Sus scrofa: one gene and its partners. The protein of the gene in region 1 interacts with the protein of each later gene in a biochemical or structural test. Links are inferred from orthologs where the notes say so. Each region holds a gene or a part of one and is shown on either strand. Other genes may lie near its edges.

Evidence for each region.
Region 2: the proteins of RPS6KA1 (region 1) and ERBIN interact in a test that uses a peptide from one of them, tested with the Homo sapiens proteins (2 studies listed by BioGRID and IntAct). The link is inferred for Sus scrofa from reciprocal best matches to the Homo sapiens genes RPS6KA1 and ERBIN.
Region 3: the proteins of RPS6KA1 (region 1) and MAST1 interact in a test that uses a peptide from one of them, tested with the Homo sapiens proteins (2 studies listed by BioGRID and IntAct, with this or other methods). The link is inferred for Sus scrofa from reciprocal best matches to the Homo sapiens genes RPS6KA1 and MAST1.
Region 4: the proteins of RPS6KA1 (region 1) and PARD3B interact in a test that uses a peptide from one of them, tested with the Homo sapiens proteins (2 studies listed by BioGRID and IntAct, with this or other methods). The link is inferred for Sus scrofa from reciprocal best matches to the Homo sapiens genes RPS6KA1 and PARD3B.

What each region holds. Positions count from the first base shown.
Region 1 is NC_010448.4:83,915,972-83,919,958, reverse strand, and holds the start of RPS6KA1 (ribosomal protein S6 kinase alpha-1), read right to left. Parts: upstream 2,803-3,987; 5' UTR 2,087-2,802; coding exon 1,706-2,086; intron 140-1,705; exon of another isoform or gene 1-139. UniProt on the Homo sapiens protein: Serine/threonine-protein kinase that acts downstream of ERK (MAPK1/ERK2 and MAPK3/ERK1) signaling and mediates mitogenic and stress-induced activation of the transcription factors CREB1, ETV1/ER81 and NR4A1/NUR77, regulates translation through RPS6 and EIF4B phosphorylation, and mediates cellular proliferation, survival, and differentiation by modulating mTOR signaling and repressing pro-apoptotic function of BAD and DAPK1.
Region 2 is NC_010458.4:44,414,598-44,418,792, forward strand, and holds the start of ERBIN (erbin), read left to right. Parts: upstream 1-1,391; 5' UTR 1,392-1,529; intron 1,530-4,195. UniProt on the Homo sapiens protein: Acts as an adapter for the receptor ERBB2, in epithelia. By binding the unphosphorylated 'Tyr-1248' of receptor ERBB2, it may contribute to stabilize this unphosphorylated state.
Region 3 is NC_010444.4:66,181,486-66,185,599, reverse strand, and holds the start of MAST1 (microtubule-associated serine/threonine-protein kinase 1), read left to right. Parts: upstream 1-1,310; 5' UTR 1,311-1,344; coding exon of another isoform or gene 1,345-1,383; intron 1,384-4,114. UniProt on the Homo sapiens protein: Microtubule-associated protein essential for correct brain development. Appears to link the dystrophin/utrophin network with microtubule filaments via the syntrophins. Phosphorylation of DMD or UTRN may modulate their affinities for associated proteins.
Region 4 is NC_010457.5:107,881,117-107,885,260, forward strand, and holds the start of PARD3B (partitioning defective 3 homolog B), read left to right. Parts: upstream 1-1,340; 5' UTR 1,341-1,914; coding exon 1,915-2,034; intron 2,035-4,144. UniProt on the Homo sapiens protein: Putative adapter protein involved in asymmetrical cell division and cell polarization processes. May play a role in the formation of epithelial tight junctions.

The sequences.
Region 1 (3,987 bases):
GGAGCAGGCAGCGTCCGGGGCTGCTGCGGAGGTGGTCAGGCCCAAGGCGGATGTGCAGGGTGAAGGCGGGGGCTGGGCCCAGCCCAGGGCCGCCAATCACTCAGGGCCTGTGGTTTCCTAGCTCTCTTACCACGTTCCCTTCCTCTCTCCCCCCCCACCTCCCCATTGCCTGAGGGCTGCCCTCTGGCCCTCCCCCTGCCATCCTCCCTGTGGGCCTGCAGAGGGAAAGCCCCATGCCAACCCAGCTGCTGAGTTGATAGGTACCCAACTGGCAGGGGCAGGCACCCACCGAGTGAAGGCAGTTGAAGGCAGACAGGTGGGAGAGTACACGTGCCCATCAGACAGGGATGGGGAGAAGCCAAAGGACAGAGGCAGAAGAACACACATTCAATGGGCAGAGACAGATGGGGACATGTTCCCAATAAGCGGAGGCAGGAAGGGACTCACACCCAACAGGCAGAAGTGGACAGACCTGTACCCAACACGCAAAGGCAGACGGGGACACAGACCTAACACGCAAAGATAGATGCGGACGTGTACCCAACAGGCAGAGACAGATGGGGATCCAACAGGCAGAGGCAGATGGGGGCTTGTATCCAACAGGTGGAGACAGATGGGGACATGGACTCGACAGGCCAAGACAGAAGGGGACACGACCCAACAGGCACCCAGCACGTGACATGTACCCAACAGGTGAAGACAGGCACTCGTGAAGTGGACACAGAGCCAGGAAGCCAATAGAGGCAGGTGAGCAGCAGACAGAGGCAGCTGGCATCAGCAAGGCCCAAGGGACGGACAGATAACCAGGGCAGACACACAGGCAGGAAAGACACACAGATTCCCAGTCAGACTCTGGCCTTAAGGGCGGAGCTCCGGGTTCTTGCTGGTCTGTCTGGGGCAGGAGGGGACATCACCCGCCAGGCCCCAGCCCTTGGGAGAGCAGTCTGGTACTTGTGGCAGACCCATCCCTGCTTAATTCCATTTCTTTGGGGTTTCCTTCCCATGCCAGGGTCTGAGGGGGGCCCAGGCCTAAGTTGCTGGACTGAGGGGGAACATCTCCTGCGTGCAATCTGATGGCTTTGACTCCATCCAAATATCCCAGCGTTGTCATCCCCCATTTCAGGAACAGGAAACTGAGGCTCACAAGGCAGTGACTCACCCATGCCCAAAGTGAACGGGTGGCAGAGACGGCTCGAACCCAAGTTCTTCCCCTGGTTACCACTTGGCCTGCGGTCAACAGGCCTCAAGTGCCAGGAAAGGGTGGGCAGGTAAGTCAGCCAGAGCCACGACCTGCCCTTCCTAGCCCGCCCCCTCCCTCAACCAGGGAGTCTGGGGACTTCCCATTCGAGATCTTGACCCTCGGAGACACAGTCCCATCATCAGGGGACCTGACCGGTCACAAAAGCTGCAGGCACAGAAAGCTGCAGGCTCAATAGGCCCCGGAGTGTAACCCAGTGGGTGGGACAGGCGGAAAGCTTGGCTCAGAGAGGGGCTGGGGGTGGGGGGCAAAGCCGCACAGCAACCCCTGCCCACCCCGCCCTGAGGGCTGAGCTTCCACCTGTCTGTCTGCCTCTGACTGAGAACACTCCCTGGGGACAGAGGCAGTCACCCGGAACCCCCAGGGGACAGAGCCACCCCCAAGCCCATTCCCTGCCCAGAGTCATGGTGACAGACACGACTGGAGGCAGGCCAACCCTCCGCTCACCTTTCTGGGATAGGGGAGTGAGTCTCTCTCACCCCAGGGGAAATCTGCCGGGGTCTGCATGGTGGGGCCCAGGCCGGTGGCAGAGGGCCCAGCTACTCCCCTCACTTCTGCTTTTTCAGCTTTCCTGGCCCAGAAGGCAGGGTCCCTGACCCCTTCCCTCTCACTTCCCCCTCTGCGGGGAGGAGGGACAGAAGATGGGTTAAGCTGCCCTGCTGTGGAGGGGACACTGCGGACCCCAAGACCGTGACTCCCAGGGGTGGGGGCCCAGAGAGACACCCCATCCCTCGTCTCCCCTGATCCTAAGGCAGGGGGACTGGAACATATTCTGATGTCCCAAGGCAACGGGGTGGTGACCGAGTGGCGCCCCACCCCCACAAACATCCTCTGGAGAGATGGGGGGCAGAAGTCAACAAGGCCACCATCTCTGACTGTCCCTGCTCAGAGCACGGGCACTCCTCCTCCTGTAGTGACCCTCCCACGGCTGGGCCCACCCCAACGGCAGCCTGCCGGGCAGGCCCCACCACACCCAGCCCTGCCCAAAGCAGCCTGCCAGCCCAGGGCCCCGGGACAGGCGAGGGGGCAGAGGCCCCCGCACAGACGTCACAGAGGCCTGAGGAGGAAGAGCAGGTAGCCGTGGGGCAGGGGGTGACCAGGCCCAGGCCTTTGCCACATGGCCTCCCCACATCAGTCACACCAGTACCACAGGAACTGACACACACACAGATACCCACAGTCCGATGATCGGAAACCATTTCCACAGACGTCCCCTATGTGGAAACACACCCCCACGCACAGCGAACTTCCCCTTCCAGCCTCACAGGGCCTCCACTAACTGTCTGACGATGGCCTGCTGGGTGTTGTGAAAGAGGCTTCCTGAGACCGAGGCCTCTCATACTCCAGCTTTGTCTGGAGGCTGGGGTGGTGCTGGCACCCCTAAAATTCCCAGCAGCCCCCCTGCCCCCCTTAGAAGCAAAGGAAGACTCTCCAGGGCTAGCAGGGAACAGCAAGGGGCAACAGGAAGGAAGCCCCCTTGGACCTGCCTTTGCCAAAGGGTATGTGCAGGGCCTGTGAGGCCTCTGGTGGCAGGAGTAGGGAGGACAGCACCAGGCCGCACCCCCTTGGTCCCTGCCCCACTCCCCCTACAGACACTTCCTCTTATTTACTTCCGCCCACAAGGCAGCTGGACAGAAGCCCAGAGCCCCTCAGCCTGATCCCTGGCCCCTAGGGTCCCCACCCCGGGCCTCCCTCCAGCAGCTGCAGCCCAAGCCCACCTGCTAATCTCTGGCCCTAACGGACACCAACAGCCCCTCCCCGAGATGCCCCCTCCCGTGGGACAGGTGTCCCCAGATGCATCACCCATCATGCTTCTGGGTGGGTGAGGGGTCCTTAGTTCCCAGGCATCTTTGATGGAGGAGCGATTAGCATGGAGTGATAATGAGAAGTGTGCCTGTTAACTGAGCATTCATTGCATGAAGCCATTCCTTCCTTTTGCTGGTGTGGATTCTGCCAGGCCCTGTGTACTAGCTCCAAGGGAAATACTCTCATCCCATTTCAGAGATGGGGAAACTAAATTCAGAGAGAAAGTGATTTGCTCAAGGCCACATGGCTAGAAAGGCAGAGAGCTCAGAGCAAGATCAATCTGTTTGCTTCCAAAGCCTACACTAAGCATTTCCCTATCCACACCGCTCCCCCCCACCCCCAACAAGGCCTGCCAGCCTGGCTCCCTGCTGGGCATCACTCACAGCTATTGGTCCCTTGCTCTGTCCCCAGGGGAGCCAAACACTAGGAGGCACACATGTTAAGGCAGATTGGACTCTCCAAAATAAATACACAATGACAAAACCCAACTGTCCTGTGACAGAGCTACAGTCGAGGTGCTGGAGGTGTGCAGAGACTGTACCTATCCGCCCAACGGGAGGCCCAAGAAGGCAGGGTCGTCCGGCTGGGCCCTGAAGGTGAACAGGAGTGGGCCAAGCAGAGAGGAGGAAATACACTCCACGGAGAGAGAGAGACCAGCATGGAAAAGAGGCTTGAGGGAAGTCCCCGTTGTGGCTCAGAGGGTTACGAACCCGACTGGTTTCCATAAGGATGAGGGTTCTATCCCTGGCCTCGTTCAGAGGGTTAAGGATCCAGTGCTATGGTGAGCTATGGTGTAGGTTGCAGATGCAGCTTGGATCCCTTGTTGCTGTGGCTGTGGTGTAGGCCGGCAGCTCCTGCTCCAATTCATCCCCTAGCCTGGGACCTTCCATATGCTGCAGGTGCAGCCCTAAAAAGAAAGAAAG
Region 2 (4,195 bases), on another chromosome or scaffold:
ACCACAGCTCACGGCAACGCCGGATCGTTAACCCACTGAGCAAGGCAGGGACCGAACCCGCAACCTCATGGTTCCTAGTCGGATTCGTTAACCACTGCGCCACGACGGAAACTCCAAGGACTCTCTTCTTCCAGGCTGGGCGCAGGGCAGCCGGGATCGACTTCGCCCGCATCCCCACCTTGGGCGGCTGGGGAGCAGCACGCAGGCCTCCCGGGCCTGGGCCAGAGCTGGCCTCACGCCGGACCTAGCTCGCGAACCCCCGGCCGCCGGCCCCGCCTCCCGGGCCCCCAAGACTATCACCCCCCGCTGCCGCCGCCGCCCCCCGCCGCCACCGACGTCGGCCCGCACCGCCCCCGCGCGCGGTGACTGGCTCGCGCCGGCCTCCAGCCCGGCTGTTGGAGGTTGGGGCGAAGCGGGCGGGAGGCCGCCCCGCCCCCGCCGCGGAGCCGCCGCCGCGCGCAGCCTCTTCCCCCCTCGCCGCCGGGGCGGTGGCGCTGTTGCCTCCGCGGCCTGTGAGGCAGTAACTCCCCTCCGCCCCAGCCCCCTTCCTCCTCCTTTCTCTCCGCTCCCTCCCTCCCCTCCCCTCCCCTCCCCTCCCCGCCCCTCGCAGTCTCTCGCTCGAGTGAATGTGGCGCGGCGGCGCGGGACGCAGTCTCGGCCCCTGCCGCGGCCCCGCGAGCTTGTGAGGAGACGAAGCCGCCGCCTGCCCCCACCCCCTGCGCTTCCCGGGGGAGCCACCGCCGCCAGGGAAGAAGAACGAGGAGGGGAGCGAGGGGACGGTGGCGGGAAAACAGGAGGGGGAGGAGAAGAGGGCTCGAGGGCAGGGAAGGAAGGCGGGGAGGGACGTACGGAAGGACGGACAGCCCGACGGCCGGCCGGGGGAGGGGGCCGCCATCGAGCCTGCCCGGCCCCTCGGCTCGGGCTCCGGGCGGCCGCGGCTGCGGCCGCGCGGGCGAAGGGCGCGGCAGGCGCTACCGAGACAATAACCCCGCCGCCCGGCTCCGGGGGTGGCGGCGAGGAGGCGGCGGCGGCCTAGCGCGGCAGAGGCTCTCCCAGCGCCCCGGTGGCATCTTTGCCCCCGCGGGCCAGGTTCGCCTGCCGTCGGATATCGGGGCGCGCGGGTCGCCCGGAGTCCCAGGCTCTCGGCTGACGCCCCCTGCCCTCCCCCGCCCGACGCGCGTGGAGCTGGTTTTCCGGGTTCCCCTGGACCGAGCTGGATCCTGCTGCTCGCCAAGGCAGGAAGTGAGTTTCGCACGGTAATTCCGGGCGGTGTCACGAGTGAAAAGTTTTTTTTTCGACGGAGATCCTAGTTGGGGCTGGGAAACTCCTGCAAAACTCGAGACCAGGAAGCCAGCCCGCTTCCCAACCCCCACCGGAGCCACCTACTCTTCCTACTGCGGGAGGCCACTCCACATCCGCTCTCACCGGAGAGAGAAATTCGGCTGGATCCGAAGTGACTAATGAAGGGGAGGAAATCATGTCAGGCGAAGCCTTGAAAAAGCTGTCCTGAGACACTGCCCGACCGAAAGGTAATTTTCACCCAAAGTGTCTGCGAGTCACAAAGCTCCCCGGCCAGGAAAGAGAGGAAACTTTAGTGTTTTCCACTTTTTCTCAAGTTGCCCTAAATTCTCCCTCTCTCCTGTCGGACGGGGTAGTGATTTAGGTGCAAAGCAGTAGAACTGATTTTATTCTCCTTTCTACCATCTGGACCCTGGTCATTTTAGAAGAGGTTGTAAGAATGCGGTGGGACGAAAAGTTTTAAGCAATTCCGAGGAAAGAATGCCTTTGTTCAGCAGAAGGTCCAGAAATCTTAGTTTCCCGGAACATATACAATGTATGTTTTTGATTTATTAAGTTGCTGAACCTGACAACTTTTGTTTTGGATGAAAGTTAGGTCACTGCGGCGAGCAATCGGCTGCTGTTGAGATGGCTGCCACAGTATTTGTTTATACTGTTACCGATTATTTTGCTTTTGCATTTAAATGTATATGGAGTTATTTAGTTCCAACTCTTATGACTGTGTTTCATTGGGTTTTATAAACAAAAAACTCTTTGCCGTTCTTAGTCGTTTTTTCAGGTGGGTAATATATATGTCTTCAGTAACTTGTTCTTTTCGGACATTTATAACTTTATAATACTTGTTTGGTGTTGTCTACAAGCTACTGTCTACAAGATTTTTCTTGTAACTGACCTAGTAGGGAGAAAAAGTGTTACGGCTAAAGAGTGATGATTAAAAAGCAAACATGAATGCCTGTAAGTGGTTTGATTTGTTAGGACTTCTGTGCAATTCGGAACTGAATGTATAGGAAAGGAAGTAAAACGCTTAAAACAGTGTTCATGGGCATCACAGTGATTGTGATAAATAGCTGTGCTTTTTGGTTAGCACATTATTTACATTTTTTTGTTGTTGTTGGCCCAAATGTTTTGACCGGGTCTGCCACCTAATAAGTGATGAGTATCTGCTGTGGGGGCAGGGATTAAGTGAAGCACGGTGACATTCCACCAGTCAGTTATAAATATAAACACTTCTGAACCAGTCGGTAGTCTTTATAGATCAAACTAGTTTTGGTTGCTGCAGACACAGACGGTTTCTTCTGTGGTGTTTTTAATGAGTGTCTTTTTAAGTTTGGTTCCCCCCCCCCCGTGCTTTTTTGGTAAAGGGAGGTAAAAGATAAACTCTGCTCTTGAATAAATGTCAAATAAACGTGGTATTTTGTTTGTAGATATATCTTAAATGTAAATTAATATTTATTTGCCCTTGCCACCACAAGAAAAATGGTTGGCTTTCTTTAGTTCCAAAAAGAGACAAGGTAGGTTTTAAACAGTAGGTTCAAATAATTTCACAACTTTTTCTTTGTTACTTCAAATTAAGTATGTTTCAAAAAGGGGGTCTTTTAACTATTACTATATATTGTTTTGATTTTTTTTTTTCTTGGAGCTTAGTCTCTGGAGCTCCTTTTTAAAAACAATTTTGTAGTTTTTTAAATTGTTGGTAAGATTTTGTGAACCATCAAGTAATTCCTATTAAGTGAAAGTAGCTTTATCAAATAATTTAAAGTATGTAAGTGATCTACTTTATGATTTTAGAACTTAAAATTAGGCAACGAAAGAGGTTATTCTTGGGCATCTGAAAGAGGGGAACAAAATAAATGGCATTGAACTTCGGTTTCCTTATATGGTTTATACTTGGCTTCAGAGCAACAAAGCCTTAATAGAGCAAGTCTTTTATAGAGAATTATCACTTTGCGAAAGTGTTCCTTTCTCTGTGTTAGGAAATTTTACTTGAAAGAAGTATTATAGTCCTCAAAAATACCTATTTAAATGCCTGTTGTTAGATATAGCTCTTGATTTTTTTTCTTGAGGGAGCATAGTATGTATAGATGCAGACAACATGTTTTAAAAGATGTTCACCTTTGTAGTTGTCTTTGATTCCTTTTTCCCCTCAACAAGGCAAAATTTACTTTGAGGTTTATTTATTTTATTAGTTTAGCACTGGATTAACTTAATGAATTTTAGGTTTTATACTGTTGTCAAACTGTAAATATTTTTCAAAGTTTTGTTTAAAATTTGACAGTGGTTTGAAAATAAGTTTAAAAAATGGTCATAAAAATATTTTAAAATGGCTTCAAATTTTGGATATTTTTCTTAGTATTCTGTGGGTTTTTTAGATTAAATTCACAAATCTGGAGTACTTCCAAGGTGTTTGTAGAAAATGCGCACTTGATGGCCCTGTTTGTTAAAGGTACTGGGAGTTTTCAAAAGTGATAAACTTAATCTTTCAACTAATTAATTCAGATATTATGAAGTTTCCCTACTGTTTGTGAACAAATTATTGCCAACTTTTCATGTATAAAAAGCTTACAGAGGTTCCAATATGGGAACCAATTTTTTATTGCTTGTTTTTTCTTCATGAAGCAATAACTACAGTTAGAGACATTTGATGTGTATCATTGGTAAATGTCTAAAACTCAGGTATTTTAGAGATTTTGGTAGTGAGCTCATGGCAGTAAACAGTACCTCACTTTAAGAGACAAGAATTTCAGAAAATTAAGTGCATATTTATGCATTTATTTTAAATTATTGCCTGTAGATAAATATGGTAGTGATTATGAAGTATTTGGGATTCTGTAGGTTTTAGTGATGTTAGATAGGAAAGTATTTTTTTTTTTTTTTTTTTGTAATTTCTAGTTGTCTA
Region 3 (4,114 bases), on another chromosome or scaffold:
GTTAAGGGCCTAGACTTTTGGGAAGCCCCCCCCCCGCCATGCCCTCCAATGCCTAGATTGGAGTGGGGAGGGCTCCGACGGTTTCCACTCCAATTCTGGGAAGCACGGTTGGCTTGGCCTCAGCTGTAGGAACACTGAGGGCAAGTGGTGGAAACTCTTCGGATGCCCCCCTCCCCAACTACCAGCTAATCGTTCCTATAAATACAGCTCAGCCTTGCCTGGCATCTTAATCCTGACAATGAGGGAGGGGATCGCTACGGGAGCGGCAGGACTCCCCGAGGAGGCTCTGCTTGCGAAGCGGGGTGGTATATGTTTTTCTTAGGGGGCATCTCCGGTGACGACCGGTCTCCTCATATAAATGTCATGGTAGGGAGTTCCTGTTGTGGCTCAGCGGGTTACAAACCCGACTAATATCCATGAAGACGCGGGTTCGATCCCTGGTCTCGCTCAGTGGTTTAAGACTCTGGCGTTGCCATGAGCTGCGGTTTAGGTCACAGATGCGGCTCAGATCTGGTGTTGATGTAGTTGTGGTATAGGCTGGCAGCTGCATCTCCGATTCTACCCTAGTCTGCGACCTTCCATATGTCACAGGTGCGGCCCTAAAAAAAAAAAAAAAAAAAAAGTCACTGTAAATGTATCTTCTTGGGATGTGGGGTCTCACGGGTGGGGACAATTTCCCATAGAGGAGATGGCTTTTACAGGGTCTTTTATTGTCATCGGGCGTACTCTCAACAGGCTCCCCAAGCGAAATACCACCTATGGGGATCTTTCTCTGCGGAAATGTCTTCTTTGGAGCATGGGCTGTTGAGAGGAAGCATCATTTCTTACAGACCACTTGTTTTAGAAATGATTTTCAGGGTGAGAGGAGAGTTCCTGACTGGCGAGGGCCTCTCTCTGGAGATGATTTCCCCACTGGATGTGTTTCCCTGAAGGGGGTCACGGGAGAGGGGGGTTCTGCATAGGGAATATATCTAGTGAGAATGTCTCCCTTGGCGTTTTCTTGGGTTAGTTTACCCATAAGCATCACTCTCTCCTGGCGTGTCTACCCTTACACGGGTCTCCTGGTAGCTTGGCTTCTCTGGGGGCATCTGTAAGGCTCCTCCTCCAGTCTGCCCCCTCCTCCTCAGCGCGGGTAGCCTGGGCCAAGGCCCGGCTCGGGCGCCCAGACGCAGTGACGGCGCCGGGTCCGCCCCACTTCGCTCCGCCCCCGCCACCTCCTCCCCGCCCCCCAGCCGCGGACGAGGTCCCCGCGACTTCTCACTCCCTCCCGCCTCCCTCCTCCCGCCGCCGCCGCTGCCGCCGCCTCCCACCTCCCTCCCCGGGGCCGGAGCCGCCGCCGCCGCCATGGACGATTCGGGCCTGATTCGTCGCCGGAGGCTGCAGGTACGCGGCGGCGCCGGCCCTGGGTGGAAGGGATGGGGTCGGCGTCCTGGGGCGGGGCCCGCAGGAGGCGGGAGAACTTAAGCCAGTGTCGGCCCAGGCGCCCACTCCCACGGCCTCTGGACGCAACCTGGGGGAACGCGGTGGCTGCGCGTCCAGCCGCGCTAGGACCCCGCCCCTCAGGCGCCGCCCGGAGAACCAGGGATCTGATGGAGGGGATGCAGCCTAGCGTTCCCCTTCGAGTATAGCTCGAGGGGAGCCTGGCCCGTCAGAGGTGGAGGGGACTTGGGTCGAGGTCTTTGCCCAGGAGCCCTGCCAGGCCGGAGGTAAGGGGGAGCAGAGCAAAGTTATTGCCCCAGGGCTCGCGCCCCTCGGGGCTGCCGGCGCCGCAGCAGCGGTAAACATGTTTGTGCCGCAGCCTGGCCCCTTCACCAGCCCAGGAATCTCTTTCTGAGGCATGGGGACCTCTGCGACCTCCATGCACCTACTCAGCTACCAGGATTCTTCCTACTGCCCTAATTGGACAGGCACCTAGGCAGCCTCCCTCCACACTCTTCATTCCACCCCCCTCCACTACAACACTGTCCCTCTCCGCCCCCACTCTGCGATCCTCAAGTCCAGCCCAGCTTGTGGGTGGGCGGGAGCGATTTTTAGCTTCTTACAGCCTTAGAAAATGTTGGTCTCCAGGCTGCGCAGGCGCGGGAGGCATGGGTCCACTGTTCAGAGTGGGACACTGAGGTTTGTTGTGGAGCATGGGGAAGGTGAGGACAAATCCAGGTGTCAGGAACTCTTATTTCCTGGATGGGTGGAGATTCTGAAACTGGGAAGGGTTCTCTTTGGTTTGCATCATGCACTTCTAAGAGTTAATTCAGGGAATCGGTGTTGCCCCCAGACTGACCCCAGAGAGGAAAAATTGATCAAAACTTCATCCTATCTGGCATCTAGTTCTTCTGAGCCTCCTTGAAGCCCAGTCCCAAGCTAGGTAATCTGGAGGAGTTTGTATAAAGCCTACAGTGGGAAGTTCCCATTGTGGCTCAGTGGAAACGAATCTAATATCCATGAGGAGGTGGGTTTGATCCCTGGCCTCTCTCAGTGGGTTAAGGATCCGGCGGTGCTGTGAGTTGTGAGTGTAGGTTGTAGATCCAGTTCGGATCTGATATTGCTGTGCTATGGCTGTGGCATAGGCCAGCGACTACAGCTGTGATTCTACCCCTAGCCTGGGAACGTCTATATGCCGCGGGACAGCCCCAAAAAGACAAAGAAAGAAAGAAAGAAAGAAAGAAAGAAAGAAAGAAAGAAAGAAAGAAAGAAAGAAAGAAAGAAAGAAAGAAAGAAAGAAAGAAAGAAAGGAAGGAAGGAAGCCTACAGTGGGCCCAGTCTCAGGATACATCCCTAGCCTGGAGCTTGGGAAGAGAAGGAGAGGATTCAAACCCTCACCAAAAATGGACGAGGCCATTTGAGACTGTAGGAAGGACTTCCCAGGCGTCTAGATGATGCTGGAGCCAGACCTGAGTTTTAACCAGAGTCCAGATGGGCTCTTCATGTCTTCCTCGTACTGCCTCCCCATTCTGGGGCTGAGTTAGGAGAATGGGTTCTGATAAAAGGGAGCTGCCACAAACCCAAAGCAAATCTGAAGCAGACAGATTGGGTCCGCGCCTTCGGGTCCCAGAAAAGGGCGGAAAGGGGCGGAGCCTACATGGGGTGTGTCGCCGACCCCTCCTCCCCACCCCGCGCCGACTCCCATTGGCTCAGTGCCACGCGGGACTTCGTTCTCCCGCGCAAGACCCCGCCCCCAGCCCGGGATCCTCCCACTCACCCCTAAGTCCTTCCCCAGGCTTCCAGGCAGAGCTATCCCGCCAAAGTCCTGCCCAAACCTCTTCCTCTGGTAGGGTTAACCACTTCGCTGCCTGGATACACTCGCACACCTTGTGCAACCCCGTAGGAGCTGTCCCACAACTGCGGAGCGCCCGAGGATTCCCTCTGTGCGGGTGGGATAGTACACCAACCTAATTTCGAAAGTCTCATCTGCAGAGCCATCCATTCATCCGGGGATTTGTAGAATGCGCCTGGCACAGTGGCTCTGCAGCTCGGGGTGGAGGTGGCGGCTGTTTACACTCAAGTCAAGGATCTAAATCTTCGACCCTAGAATGTTTAGGGACACTAGGAAATGGGGCTAGATTCGAGGACTTTTCTAGGTGGGATTTAAAGTTTTCTCTGGGGTTCACCTTCGTAGGCCAGTGTACCCCAGTCTGGAGTACAGTGTTCTGTGGCCGAAAAATCCAGGTCTTAGTTTTGATTGGGTCACTGCAGTCGCTTGGCCAGGCTGGCCTGGTCCAAGTGGCGGCTCATTCAAGCTGGTTCTGCAAAGACAGATGGAAAACCCGGTATGGATTTCCGGTCACCCCTGGCTCACCCAGTATGGATTTACGGTCACCCCCGGCTCGGGATGGTAGGACTGCCAATCTGGACAGTGTGCCCTTTGACCTCGACCATCCGTCTGTCCTCTGTACATGGGAATGTGAGGTCCCTCTGGCATATTTCCTGTCATGCAGCATGTCCATCCACAATAACTCCTGTTCCTATGACCTAATATTTATTGAGCGCATACTATGTGCTAGGTATATAGTAAGGTGCTAGAGACCTGCATCATCTCTCAGGATCCTCTAGAAGGCATGGACTATTGGAAGGTCATTTTCCAAGGTTATAAGTGGCAAAGCTGGGAATTGAACCTGTG
Region 4 (4,144 bases), on another chromosome or scaffold:
CATCTTTGCCCCCTTTGGGGAGAGCCTGAGAATGGTGGCAACAGAGGGACACAGAGCCAAGAGATGGAAAGAAATAGCCTCTAAGGACATTGTTTGGGTTTCTGGATTCAATCTGCCTTAAAGGAACACTCTTTGGCTCTTCTGATTTTATAAGAAAATAGATCCTGTCTTCAGTTTATTTAAGTTAGTTTGCATTGGATTAGTGACCAGAATAATACTAATATATGTCTTCCTCAAATCAACTTAGTCTGCATGATCCTCTTTGATGCCATTGACCTGATAAAAGGCCCTGTACATACCATATTATATATATATATGACATGTATGAATTAACAAATATAACCTCTCAAAACCCATGAGTTTGTTAATTTAATCTCCTGTGCTTTGTTTTACTGTCATAGGCACGTCAAGTTCAATTTAAGTGCATCTTGACATAGGAAATTTTTTTTTTTTTTTTTAATTTAGAGAAATGCATGATGTAGCCTAGAGGAACTTGTAAGAAAACGGTGTGGGAGAGGTTTGGAAGAATGAAGTTCCTCTTAGCATAACTAATTCCATGGTCAGTTCATTCCCTTAACTTCCCTGGGTACTGTTCTTTCACGATAATATGAGAAATGTAATTCCTACTTTACAAACTTGTTATTAGGCTCAAAGAAGCTCACTGATGTGTGAGCTAAGAATGGTACAAATGCTATTTTTGACACCCCCCCCAAGATATGCCAATTTCATTTGATGATGGATACACACCTGCCGAAATCATGAACCTAAACGTGTTAATTTTTTTTTCTAGTTAAACAAACAACAGGAAGCACATTTCAGAAGGATATATGTGAACACATGCAGTCATATCTGGGTCTGAATGTAACCTTTGGGGGAATACTGAGCGTTCTCATCCTTAACGGTTCCAATCCCACGTTGTCTCCAAGAATCCCTTCAGTTTTTCTGTCTCAGGGCTTCAGAGAGCAGGCGAGAAGCTGTCCTTAGGACCAAGTTCCTAATAGGCCCTTGGGGCCAACCCTGCAGTTCAGTACCTGTGAGCCTTCAGCCTTGGGGAGTATTTGTGGGCGTGGCGAGAAGCACCTGCTCCCCGGCTCTTCTCGAATCTTGCTCCAATCCCCTCGTTTTAAGGGTGTAGCTCTGCAGCTCCCAGCTATTCCCTCGAGTGTACTTTATGAGATCCGGTTTCAATCCCCCGGTGGGGAGTTCTGAGGTCCCGTTACAATTCCCTAGAACTCCATGTGTGAGCGGGAGGGACAGAGCCAGGGAGAGACTGAGGGAGGGGACGAGTCTCCGGGCTCCAGTTACCGCCCCGCACGGCCCCCGCCCCGCGCCACTGAGTGCACGGCAGGGCCGGGGAGCGCCGCGGCCCCTTTAAGAGCCGGGCCCAGGCCGGCCCCAGGGCCGCAGGAGCCTAGAGCGCCGCGCGCCGCGGAGGAGTTGGGATCCGGCGCAAAACTTTCCTCCCAACTCCGGCCCCGCGCGCCGCCGCCGCCGCCCACTCTAGCCCGGGGCCTGGGGCCGGCCGCCCGGCTGCCGCCGCTGCCGCCACCAGGGCCAGGGCGAGGGCCAGGCTGGGCCGGCAGTTTCGCTTTGGCGGGCGCTGAGCAGCTGCCTGGGCCGGGCCGGAGCAAGAGCAAGAGGGGCATCCCGGTCCCGGGACCGCCGGGTCCCCGAGCCCCCGCCACCTGGGAGGTAGCCCTTCCCGCTGCTGCCTTCTCCCTGATTCCCGCCCGCCGGCGGCCGCCAGTCCGCGGCGAAAGGGCGCTGCTCTGAGTTCCCGGCCCTTAGGGGCGCTGGGGAGAGGCGCCCGGGTCTCCGTGCCCGCCCTCGCAGGGCGCCCCCGGAAAGTGAGGGCTGTGTCCGCCGGCCTAGACACCTGTTCGGCCGGCCCGGCGTGGTCGCCTGCAGACCAGGATGAAAGTGACCGTGTGCTTCGGTAAGACCGGCATCGTGGTGCCCTGCAAGGAGGGCCAGCTGCACGTCCGGGAGCTCACGCAGCAGGCGCTGCAGCGATACCTGAAGACCCGGGAGAAGGTGGGCGCGGCGCTGGGGGCGCGCGGGCGGGGCGGAGGAGGGGCGCGGCCACGGGCGGGTCACCTGGGAGCGCTCCGCGGCCCTGGCACCTGCCAGGTGCCCCAGGACAGGGTGGGAAGCCCTGGGGACGCAGAGCGCCCGGGTGCTTGATTTGTCGAGACCTGTGGCCTCAACTTTTGTATGTTGCTAATATGAGTGACCTGAGTATCTATGGGCGACTGTGGGCCTTGCTTCTCCGTGGATGGTGGGAAGAACCGCAGCATCAGAATCACTGGAGGGTTCGTTAGAAATGCACCCTCTGGTGCCCTAGTCCAAACTCATGGCCTCAGAATCTGCTTTTCAACAAGCTTCCAGGTGATTGGAATGGCCCCTGGAATTTGTGAAGCATTGACTGCTTTAGAAGTTGTTTGAGTGAACAGATCTCTAGGGAAAGGTTGAAGGTGCTGCTCACCTCAGGCGTGATTTTTGACCTGCCCAGAGGCCTGCTCCGCTTCTACTCCTTGGGCTAGAAAGTTGATTGGTTCAAGTAACAGACACTCAGAAGTTGTAACTGATTGGGCCCTTGGAATTTCAGCCTCCTGGGCTGCCCTCCCATAATGATTATGCAGGATGTCAGATGGAAGGATGCTGTTTGCTTTACACCAACCGGTCTACACTTTGCTGGTTTTACTTTAACATCACACATTCTGTGGACATGTGTAGACTGTGTCAGGTCTGGAGTGACTTTTGAAATGAGGACCAAGACTATTCCCCAGCTCTGTTCCTGAAGTCAGGAACAAAAGAAAATTAAGTGAAGCTCTGGAAGAGTGTTTAATCTGCAGTGCATGTTCAGAAGACCTAGCTGGACTCTGGAACACAGGTGTTTGGCTAACAGGCTGGGCCTCTCCGTCTTCTTCGATGGCACCTTTAACTGGAGGCATTCAAGAGCATCTTTCCATTTTCTGAATCCTTAGTTGGGACATCTTGTTTGCCCCAAATCCTCCTCAAACAGGACAAGTCATAAACTCTTGCCTTAGAGGCCATTTGTTCTCTTAATGTTTGTTCTCGTGCTGTGGGAACTGCAGAATTAATGCGTTGGGCAATTTAATGATAGGAAGAGGTAATTTCTTTTAATGTCTTCTAGGTTACCCAAGGCATAAAAGCAATTTTGTTTCTTCTAAATATGCAGTTGAGGCATCCAAGAAAATCTTTGCACTTTCTGTGCCTCCACTAAGAGTTATTATACAGGAAAAAATTGTCTGGATGAATACATGTGTGAGCTGCTCTGAACAGTCAAGAGTTGGAGAAGAGCATAATGAATGGCCTGTTAATATATTAAATATCATCTCCAAAGCTGGATGGTTTACTAATGGAATTGAGGCAAAAAGTGAAAAAATATCAAAGTGGCTAATAAAACTGAGTATCCATTCAAAAGTTTTTTTTTCCATTGTTACAGTAGCATGTGCTGTTTATATTGTATAATTCAGTTAAAAACTGAGAATTACACAACTAGTTTCAAGTTGTCTTTGAAATCATATTTCCCTAACTTCTGAAAGTAAGCTAAGGTTAAAAGTAGCAGCATTATTCTAGACAAATTATTAAAATAGATCTCATTGAAGGGTTATTTTACTGAGATGATAAACTTATTTTTTAATCATTATTAAAAAAATTTATTTCTAAAACCTTCTGTATTTAGAAGTTTAGTACCTGGAGCTGTCCAAGTAATAGAAGTCAGCTATATAAGTTTGTAAATAACATATGGGGAACTAACTCTATCATATTTAATGCATTGTAATTTGATTTTAAAAGATGTTAAAAAGCTATTGATATTCTGGACTGAAAGCATAATTTATAATATCACAGATTCCCATAATGTAATGGTATTGATCAGTTTACTATTATTACCAGACATAACATTTTTCTGTGTTTACATTTATATATTAGTGAATATGACATTTAAAGGTCTCCTGTAACTTATAAATCCTCCCTCTCTTCTTCGGCTTTTAAAAATCTCAATTTAATAAGTGGCAAGTGATATTTTTCCCTCCCAAAATATTCCTCTCTCATAGTTTCATTTTAAATAGCATTGTAATCAAAACAAGGCTTAACTAATATTAAATGGTATTCCTAA